Linked DNA regions of Tribolium castaneum. The protein of the gene in region 1 purifies or fractionates together with the protein of each later gene. This does not show direct contact. Links are inferred from orthologs where the notes say so. Each region holds a gene or a part of one and is shown on either strand. Other genes may lie near its edges.

What was found. The genes of interacting proteins can lie anywhere in the genome.
Region 2: the proteins of SF2 (region 1) and U2af50 purify together in Homo sapiens (affinity purification with mass spectrometry; 4 studies listed by BioGRID and IntAct, counting the BioPlex papers as one, with this or other methods). This does not show direct contact. The link is inferred for Tribolium castaneum from reciprocal best matches to the Homo sapiens genes SRSF1 and U2AF2.

Annotation. Positions count from the first base shown.
Region 1 is NC_087401.1:8,587,200-8,592,890, forward strand, and holds the start of SF2 (serine/arginine-rich splicing factor 1A), read right to left. Parts: upstream 3,724-5,691; 5' UTR 3,635-3,723; coding exon 3,468-3,634; intron 3,422-3,467; coding exon 3,240-3,421; intron 1-3,239. UniProt on the Homo sapiens protein: Plays a role in preventing exon skipping, ensuring the accuracy of splicing and regulating alternative splicing.
Region 2 is NC_087399.1:6,082,700-6,087,627, forward strand, and holds the start of U2af50 (splicing factor U2AF 50 kDa subunit), read left to right. Parts: upstream 1-2,128; 5' UTR 2,129-2,285; coding exon 2,286-2,301; intron 2,302-2,355; coding exon 2,356-2,494; intron 2,495-2,537; coding exon 2,538-2,947; intron 2,948-4,928. Other genes in the region: low density lipoprotein receptor adapter protein 1, read right to left, coding at 293-338. UniProt on the Homo sapiens protein: Plays a role in pre-mRNA splicing and 3'-end processing. By recruiting PRPF19 and the PRP19C/Prp19 complex/NTC/Nineteen complex to the RNA polymerase II C-terminal domain (CTD), and thereby pre-mRNA, may couple transcription to splicing.

The sequences.
Region 1 (5,691 bases):
TTCTCAGATATCCCTATCACCTTAGCTACCTCATACACTTTCATTCGCTGATTATCCAATATCGAAATTTGCATTTTTTTGAGGTTTTTATCCGTGGTTACTGTTTTGGTCATCCTTCACAAAACTCATCATTGAGAGATGTGCGACCAAGTTTGAATTCAGCTGGCCATTTTTATAGTAGAATATGAAGAGGTTGACTTGAATAAACTTAATAAGATTACGTCTAATACTTCCGGAGTTATTGCCCGATATGCAGGCTGTTCTGTTTTTATTGTTACAAATTTGTATAATAGGTAATAGAACATTTATTTTTAATCATAAATTTCCTATAAACATGTAGGTTTTCCTCAATATTTCAGAAACCGTTTCAGATAAAAATACAAAATTTGGTACAATTGATAACCTTCATACGCCTAATCGAATTTAAGGATCAAATGTAGGAATTTTTAATGAGAGGTGTCCCAAACTAGGGGCACCGTGTGGTCAGATACGAAATATCGACTAAGCTAAAGCTTAGTATTGGTTTAACTAACCGGTCGATGTTGGCCGCTTAAGCATTGGCTTATCGCTTAACATTTTTAATATTAACGTTATTAATATACATAACTTTATAATTTTATTGAAATCGTTAACAGATAAATTAAAGAAACCGAAGTAGCAATTTTAAACGCAAAAAAAATATGGTCAATTTTGTTCAAAATTATAAAAAAGATACTTGATTACGTTCGGTGAAAAAAATGGAACATGGGCCCAAATTGCTCGAAGATTTAATACAACAAAAGACACCCGTAGAGAGGCTGCTAATTACGAAAAATATATGACAATTAAAAAAATCATAAAATACGCAGACCAACAATGTTAGAAAAAACAGACTCATGAAGCGCCATATAGCCCATATACTACTTACTTTCACAAATGTGGAAAAAAATTGCTTTTAACAATAATGATGAAGAACTATTAAATTTCCGGATTCAAAAATGATGCACAGAAACAGTTTTTTTAAATAAATTTCGGTTCAGTTTGAATTAAACAAATAAACTTGAACAATGACAGTAATGAATAGACAACATGTAAGTTAATATATTATTATTATATTTAAAAAAAAACTAAAAAAAAAGTATAATGATAATAATTTACTTATTCTTATTTCAGTAACTTTTTTAATTGCTGCAGCAAAATCCGACAGTCAGGGGAATAATGTTGTTAGAATTATTGATACTAAGTAAATATTATGTGATTTTAATTACAGCATAGTTTTAAAAAGTGAGGACGCCCAAGTCTTCAAATGCACAAAAGCAACAAATAAACTGTGCAAATCAGTTTATTGCTGTGTTTTGAAAGAAAAGACAGAAAACGATAAATTGCTCTTTTTCAGAAGGAAGCATAAATATCATTATAACAATATTATTCCTACAATGTACCAAAATATTAACTTAACTTTTCAAAATCAGAACTGTTAAAATTTCGTCAAGCAACCTCATACTTGAAGTGCGCAAGCGTTCAGAACTACCAACCCCGTAAGTGACAAGTTCAGCGCGGTTTAGCTAAACTTTCCACTCAACAACACAACTACGGTTTAAACTTAGTTTAAATATAAACCGACCTCATGTAAGCGAAAGCTTCAGCTTGAACTGAGCAATCAGGCCTAACTATTTTGGTTTTAGTTTTCTGACAATTTAATAACAAAATAGTAAATTCCATAGTTTTTTCCATAAAAATGGTCTCTTGTGTTATTTCTATACAACTAACCGTTTCTTAATAAACAGTATGTTACAGACCATAAATAACATGAAAATCAGGGATGAACAGAAGGTTTCGCGACCAGAACCTGTCCCGAGGAAGAACGGACAAAACGTCGACATTTTCTTACAAATGCGGCCTAAGCCAAAAAGACGTAGATTTCAATTTGGTTCTAGTGGTCCGTTTTTTCTTAATTTCTGCCTCTGTTGTTTTACATACGACTTCAGATGTGCTGCAGGAGCAGTCATTTTACCAAAACACAAACTCCTGCAAAATATTAGCACACAACAGTCACAATCAACAACGCACGGTTTTGACATTTATATTTAACGTTTACCAACCCAAACGTAGGTCGTAGCGTTAATTGTATGCAGCAAAAGACTGACGAATCATTAGTCGAGACATTGCTTACGTCACAGCGCGAATTTTCTATTATTACTAAAAAAGTACCGATTTAAAAAAACTCAGACCGATATTACTAGACATCATTTTGTGTCTACTTTCAGAATCTACAATTTCCAAAAACTTTTATTTTCGAGTATAACACTTCATTGTTGGAGATATAACTTGTCAGCTTAAATCCCTATTTCCATAAAAGTGTCTGTTCCCTATACCTGACCCCCAATCTGGATTACAAGCTCTCACCGAAAAGCCGCCCCAATGCTTTTATTATGGGACAAATCTTCAATTCGATTGCAATTTCCGGCATTCCTAATTAAGTTACACGTTTGACGCAATGATATGATTTGTTCAGCTTTTTAAGACGCATCGATTGATATTATAAAAATTACTCAATCTGAGTGGTCCTTAAATTCCCATAAGAAATGTGCCTTCGTTTCTAAAATTGTCAAAAAACGAAAGCCAAAATAGTTGGGGTATTTTTTATCCTCCACCCCCCAATTTGGGACGTCCCTGATTACAAATATGTACATTTGGTGTTCGAATTCAATTAGACGTACAGAGATTATTATCTGTACCAAATTTTGTGTTTTTATATGCCATGGTTTCTGAAATATTGGGGAAATTAAATTACACTAAAAGGAACACCCCTTATGAAATATTCTTCGATACATGTTTGTAGGAAACTTTTCTCCTAAAATTGAGTGTGCTATCACCTGTTTAAAAGTTGTAACAATAAAAACGAACAGCCCATATGTTTTTACGAAAAGATAAGACAATTTTAAATGTATTTTCATGCTTTTTTTATTTTCGCTCTAATCTTATAGTTTACAAAAAAAAAACAAAAATGTAATAATAATAATAAATTATTGACGATTCAAGAAACGATGCAATGAAAACACAACCTCACAATTTAAAAAATCAAATCGTAGGTGGCAGCCACACATGCTAAAATACCCTTGTGTGTAATTTCGAAAAATTCTGTAAATAAAAACTAAATGACTTTCCTTTTAATCGCTTTTCCGACCTTTATTTCCTATTATATTTCGAATGATTTTCGCGATAAAAAACGAAAACACAAATCAAATTAACAAACCCACCTGTCACAAGCACTCTAAATTGCGACCTGCGAGCTGGTGGCCCCCTGGAGCTGCGTCCCCTGTCGCCGCCGCCGCGGCCACCCCTGAAGCTGCCATGGCCGCCGCCCCTCGGGAATTCCACCCGGAGGCGGTAGCCGTCGTAGTCGTAACCGTCCCGTGCATGTACGGCGTCGTCCGCGTCCCTAAATCAGCACACTGAGAGGGTTTCGAGGCCACATGGGGGCTTACCTGGGGTCCTCGAACTCGACGAAGGCGAAAGGAGGTCCCCGTCGGTTTTTCAAGTCGACGAATGTAACTTTGCCGAATTTGTAAAACAGGTCTTGGATGTCTTTGGTGCGGATGTCCGGGGGCAGATTCCCGACGTAGATTCGGCAGTCGTTGCGGCTGTTGGACATCGTTTCGTGTTGGAAAGTGGACGAAATCGGCGATAAACAAGAAGGAAAGATGGCGACGTGAGGGCGTTTGTGATGGCAGAGCCATCTGGACGGGGTGTGGCGCCAAATTCGAATGGAGGGTTGCAGTACAATACAGTGTGTTTACAGAAGAGTGTAGAAATGAGATAACTGCCAACACACTCAGGGAATTTTTATTTTTAAGAATTTTATTCAACTCCGAAGTATTGGTACGGGGTTTGAGGGTCACCGGAATAATTTCTCTGTTAAAATAAAATTTAATTGTACATTAATTTCATTTGCCTCTATTAGCTGTTTCAAAACTATAAAAACGCCAACGTCGCATTTTATCGAATTATTTTTTTAAATACTATTGATAAAATTGTAAAATAGTTATTAATGATTAGATCTCTCATTGAAAGTATAAATTACACTAGTTATTATTTTTTTGAAGTGCATGAATAATTTATAGAGGTTGTTCCATATCTGGTGGCGAACTGACAGTGACATAAAAATACATGGGCGTGCATTTTTTTTCTGTAAAGTTTACTTAGTTCTCATTTTAACATTAATAAATTTTGAGAACGGAGAAAGGTAGAAATATCACTATTAATTATTATTAATAATTTGTTTATTATTTTTCACAGTACTTAATTACCACAATTTTTTAAATACTAACAGTGGATTTGACAGACATTGTATAACGACGCCTATGGTCATTTTTTTTTCAATAGTAAATGTTTACCTATGTATGTTTAATGCCAAAATTCACTCATTTTTGGAATAAACTCTAACAGCTAATTTTGAGAGAAAATGCGACGTTGGCGTTTTTATTGTTCTGAAACAGCAATACTTTAGTTTGATCAAAATTTGAATTTGAATTTAACCCGAAATCGTTTTGAGCAAGTTCAATTTGTGTTTTGTGGAGGCGTTCAAAACTAGATGAAGAGCTAAAAGTTTTACATTTTTTTGTGAAGTTATGATAGTTCTAACGTTTAATTTAACCCTAAGAATAGGTAAAGAGATCATTTACCGAATCATATCGTAAATTTTTAGTGGAAGTACTTATTAAAACAAAAAACTGTACCAACACTAAGTAGTAATTACATAACAAACGCATAAATAAACTGTTTTTACCAAACTGCACACACTAAGACCTATTCTGTAATTTTATTAAAGGACTGTTAAAATTTGACACATTTCAAAAAATAGCAAACCTAGCAATTTTGTTGATTATCGTTGTACCAACAACTAAAGCTCCTTAAATTAAAAACAATTAAAACAGTTTTAAAGCCGGTTTACAGAAAGTGAAATTAAGATCTAATTTAGAATTAAACTAATTCGAATTAAGTTGCCATTTAAATGTAAAATGCATTGACAAATGTCAAGTTAATCGTGATTAAAATGTAATTGCAATTAAAATGTTCTGTAAACCGGCTCCTAGTTTTTCGTACAGAATAAGGCTCAGTGTTGTTTATAGGATTTATTTTAAAAGTGAAGTTTCTAGAAATTAAAATATAGTCATATCATAATAGAGACGTTCAACGCGAACACGAAAACTGGGTGAAATTGAGCTCTATACAATACTCCGATACTGGATACGCCCGAACATACGCTTATAGTCAAGTCGGCGTCGTCGGCGTTGTCATGGCAACGAAACAAAATACGCATGCGAAAGTATGGAATATTTTAATTTGGAAAAAAATTGAATGTGTTATGACGTGTTTAATGTACTTTTTACTGTAAATTTAGTTTATTAGAATTTATTAAATATTTCTGTGTGTAAGTATAGATTTTAGGTGAAATGCCACTTCACGTATTTCCCCAGGCGAGCCGCCACTGCCCTGGACTACAATTACTGAAATAATTAATTCATTGTCATGATTAGAACTTACAACGAAGCACAAGGTAATAATTGCAATTGTTGTAGTCGAAGCAACAATTCACAAACAATGCAAATTGAATGATTTTCTGTTACAATGTGAATTATAACTTATATCATCCCCTTTAAGTTTCAATCCCAAGACCGTAAACACCCTGAATAATCAAACCTTTATTAT
Region 2 (4,928 bases), on another chromosome or scaffold:
GTCTATCATTAAGGCGTTTTTTCCGCTCGGTAATTACAACCCAGACGGAGAATTTGCATTTTACTTTCTGCACCCGCATTGCATCATGCGTTTTAGGGGCTCACCTTCAAATGATGCAATAAAATTCATTAAGAAAAAAAATTGCCGCAAGATATGTGTTTCCCGAGCGGTACCGTGCGGTACCAGGATTCCGATAAATTTCCAAAAGTAAACAATCTCTTATTAATAATACTGCGATAACAGCTATTGTGACTTGTGTCCCAAAAAATGCGACAGAAATATTTTGACTTACTTTGGTGTTTGCCGTTGTTTTTCCAGATGCTTTTCAGGAAAGCCATTTCACAGACTCACTTATTGAAAAATAATATAAAAGCGCGTTCAAATCCGCGTCTTTACGAATCACAAGCTGATCGGTGAATGTCGGCCGGCTATCAAGCAAGCCATGAATCTCTTCATGGCAAGATATGATCTTTATATGTGGTGTACCCACTTTCCGCGAAATTACTTAATCTGAATTTTTTCAAAATAATTCTTCGTCTCAGCTCTTATCGCTGTTTGTCTTATTATACGGAATTATCGGACACGTTTCATGGAACCTGGTACCACTTAATATTTTTTAGCGATTTTCAATTATCTATAAGCGTGACATTCATCTAGTGGGCAGTGCGCTTGCATTTTCAAATTTTCAGTAATAAATAATGAAGTTACCATAAAAGCAGTCCAGTCTATACATAGTAATGCACAAGACTTCTATTAAGCTATTAAATAAAGTCAGATTTTTTTCAAGTAACTTTCTTATATATATTTGTTGTTTCTTAGGATGTCGAATTTAATTTATTGTCGAATTTACAAGTTTTTCATTGTTTTGGACATCATAAAGATATTAATTGTTATTTTTTTCAACAGCTATTTGTTTAAAAAAAAATATGATCTGAAGCACCAAAAAATTAACATAAAAAATTAACTTCGAGGAGCTATATCTCGTGAAAAAAAGCTTAAACATTTTTTTGCCATAGGAACTTTTAATTCAGTCTTTTCTCAACACTCGAGAGATTGTATGGTAGTTTTGAATCACCCTGTATTAAAACGGGGGGTACCACAGGGCAGTGTATTGGGTCCGATGCTGTTTTCGTTATATACCTTTGATCTTACTAATTATATAACTAACTGTAAAATTCACATGTATGCTAACGATATGCATTTGTATCTGACATTTCCATTCAATTATGACAAAACTATAAAGCTATATACAAAAAACACGGTGTAAATCTAAATGCAAACAACTGTCAGACGGCAATCTTTGATTGAAAATAATCAACAACTGAATTTATATAACCAAAAACTTACTAGGAAAAATTTAGTAATTTAATAGTGCTTTGATGAGCATGTACAGGCTGTTTCATATAATTTTACCATGACAGTAGTTGTCAGACTAATGACTGTTTAATGGATAGTCATATGTTTTTCACTAACAATTATCATGTGTTCTATCAAGTGACGTCATGAATATAATCCTAATTATTCCAATTTTTCAAAATTTGTAATCTAGTTCGTATTTTTAGTAGTTTAGGCATTTAGATTCATAAATAAAATTGAAACTGGTCACATCTCTAATGATGTGTGATTATTATCAAATTTTGTGCAAAAATGAAAGGGCCAATGGAAGATAGCATCTGCGAACTGTTCCCTTTTGTAAATGTATCATTATATTTAATAAAGTTTATTATTATTATTAAGTATTAATTGCCACCAGCTTGGTAACAAAGCAAAAGTTCACCGACATTTTTAGTGATACTGATAATACAAATTGTTTGTATTAATTTATCGCCGCTTTGAAAGTGTTTTTAGTCTTATTGTTACAAAATATGTTTTTCGGTTTGTTTACAATGTATGCACACACTAATCTAACAAAACGTGTTTTATTAATAGATCGATTGGTTCGGCTGAAGCCGGCCCTGTGGTAATTTTCCGAAAAACAGTCCGACTCTGTTTACGTCAATCAAGCAAAATATTTTTACCGCCGCACGACAATCGTACTTTTACAAACAATTAACAATAACAAGTTAAGCAAGACCGTAATTGTAAATAATTAATTAAATTAATCGTAATTCAAACGACACAGTTTGCGACATTACCGACAGGTACCCACAATCCCCTTGACATTAATTGACGCCATTTTGAACGTTTTGTGAGTTGTGTTAAAAACAAACCAAACATTTGAGTTAATTGACCCAAATTGTGCTTAATTTTTGTAAAATTTGACCTAATTGTGCTACTGTTCCACAATGGGGGAGGAAAAAGGTGAGTCCGGGCCCCACTTAACCGGCGAGTTTCACCCAATTCTAACCCCTCTAGACGGTAAAAACAACGAGCGGGAGCGGAGCCGGGAGCGCGGGGACCGCGAAAAGGACCGCCGACGGCGCTCCCGCTCCCGGGAGCACCGCCGGAGGTCGCGCTCCAGGTCCCGGGACCGCCGCCGGAAAAGCCGCTCAACGTGAGTATTTCGCCTTGGTTTCGTGGATTAATTGGGGGTTTAGGAGTCGCCATAAGAGCCACTCGCGGAGGCGCAAGCCCTCGCTGTACTGGGACGTGCCCCCGCCCGGGTTCGAGCACATCACCCCCTTGCAGTACAAAGCCATGCAGGCCGCGGGGCAGATCCCGGCCAACATCGTGGCGGATACGCCCCAAGCGGCTGTGCCTGTCGTCGGGTCGACTATTACGAGACAGGCGAGGCGGCTGTATGTGGGGAATATCCCCTTCGGGGTCACTGAGGAGGAGATGATGGAGTTCTTCAACCAGCAAATGCATCTCAGTGGCTTGGCGCAAGCTGCAGGGAATCCGGTGCTGGCGTGCCAGATTAATTTGGACAAGAATTTCGCCTTTTTGGAGTTTAGGTCGATTGATGAGACGACGCAAGCGATGGCTTTTGATGGGATTAATTTCAAAGGTGGGGTTGGCGTAATTAGTCCGGTCAAATAAGTCTTTATATCAAAATCTAGGGGATACAAGTATTGCAAAACGTAGTCAAAGAAGTGTTTTTTAAAGATTACTCAAATTCGGTACGAGTTAGAAAAAAAAATGTATTAAATGAAAATTATAAAGCATTTAATTTTACGCAAAAATGTTCTCTCGACTTTTTTTGATATTATTCAAATTAACAGAGCTTTGGGTGCTTAAATGTTAATGTACAATTTAAAAAAAAAACATCAAAAACACTTGATTGTTCTGTAGATTTTTCAGCTAAATTTGAATTTAGGGCACTTTGCACAAATTGTTAGATTTTATTTTAAGTTTTATGAACAAGGTCAGTAGACGTGATTTTTTTTTCGGAACCTAGTAGTAGTCAAACTGTTTGCAACCTACAATTACAGTCACATTTGTAAAATTTTAAATACGAACAGGAAAAGAAATACAAATCGATGACGGACGGGACAAAAAAAATTTCACATTTTTATTGATGAACAATCGTTATAAAATTCTGCTAATTTAAAGGCACTAATTGCAAGAATTATTTTTGAAGTAAAAGGTGGAACTTGTTGAAACTGAAACCACGAACCACGAAATTTTTTGTTTACACATAACTGTCGGCAGAAAAAAAATCTTGTGTGTGAAAATAAGTACAGAAAATTTAATCACATAGGTTTTAATTATTAAAGACTTTAACAATATCAAAGTATGTTAAATTTTATATGAGACGTTCACTCACGACAACAGCCAGTAACAAACTGAATAACATTAAATGCCGCAACAATAATCATTGTGTAAGATTATGGATAAAATGTCATCAACAAAAGTTATAATCTGTGAGATAACTAGTTGTTACAAGGTAGGAATAACGAGGTTTGTTTGATCCATTGGTTTTTGCTACTACTTTGTCACATTTTATGCTTTTGAGTAAATAATTTCAGACAAAACATTCATAATTTCGTATTCTAAAAATTAAGATAGCCACTTTTTTACGGAGAATTTAATAATAAAGACACCAGTGTTTTCTAAATTATTTATTTAAGTGTAATAATAATTAATAAGACAAATTGTATTAATACTGTGTGTACATATTTTAACTGGACACTGCAAAAAATTTAAGATTTTATTTTCAATTTTTTTAATAGTATCAGTAGAAAGTACAGCATCAACATTAAGTATTAACCGAATTGTGTATTTTGAAAGAAACTTTACTAAATTTATTTTGAAAATTTCGGTGTAGGGTTTTATTTTTGGAATGGCCGTTTAGCAAAAAAATTAAAAACCTAAAACTGGACAAATTGTGCGTTTACATCCTCATATCTTCCTTCTAAATAACGTTCTTACACAAGGCTGGGTTTTGATAAGAGAAAACTGAAAAAATGTACGTGCTGTGAAATTTTTGAGATGTGAGAAAGTTTTAATTTTTTTATTTTAAAACGCGAACCCTTACATAATCGAGATGAAAACACTTCAAATACATTTTTAGTTCAAGAATTATTTTGTTATTTGTAACACTCATCAAGTTATTGCAGTTTTCAATTACTGAAAAGTTCGAAGTGAAATCGCAGCGTATTTTCCTTTGAAACAAACATTTCGAGGGCTAATAAAAATGGAAACAAAAATTAATTAATGTCATCTCAAAAAATAGCTTGGAGTGGATTAATGTTTCGTAATTAGTTCTATTTCGTCACGTTTTTGGCTTTTTAAATAAGTTCCGGAGATATAAATGTTCTTTTGACTTCTTTAATATTAAAATTAACAATTAGGGCGGTTAAACGTAAAGTCATGATAACTGATAAGTATGTACAACTTTAATAAAGTCATGGTGAGTTGAAATTAATTTTCTAATTTTTTTAACAATAATTTTTGTAATAAAGGTATAATTTTTGTAATAATTGGTATAAATTTGGTATAAATCTAGCGGTGGACATAAAAGATTGGGACATTTAAAATTAAAAACA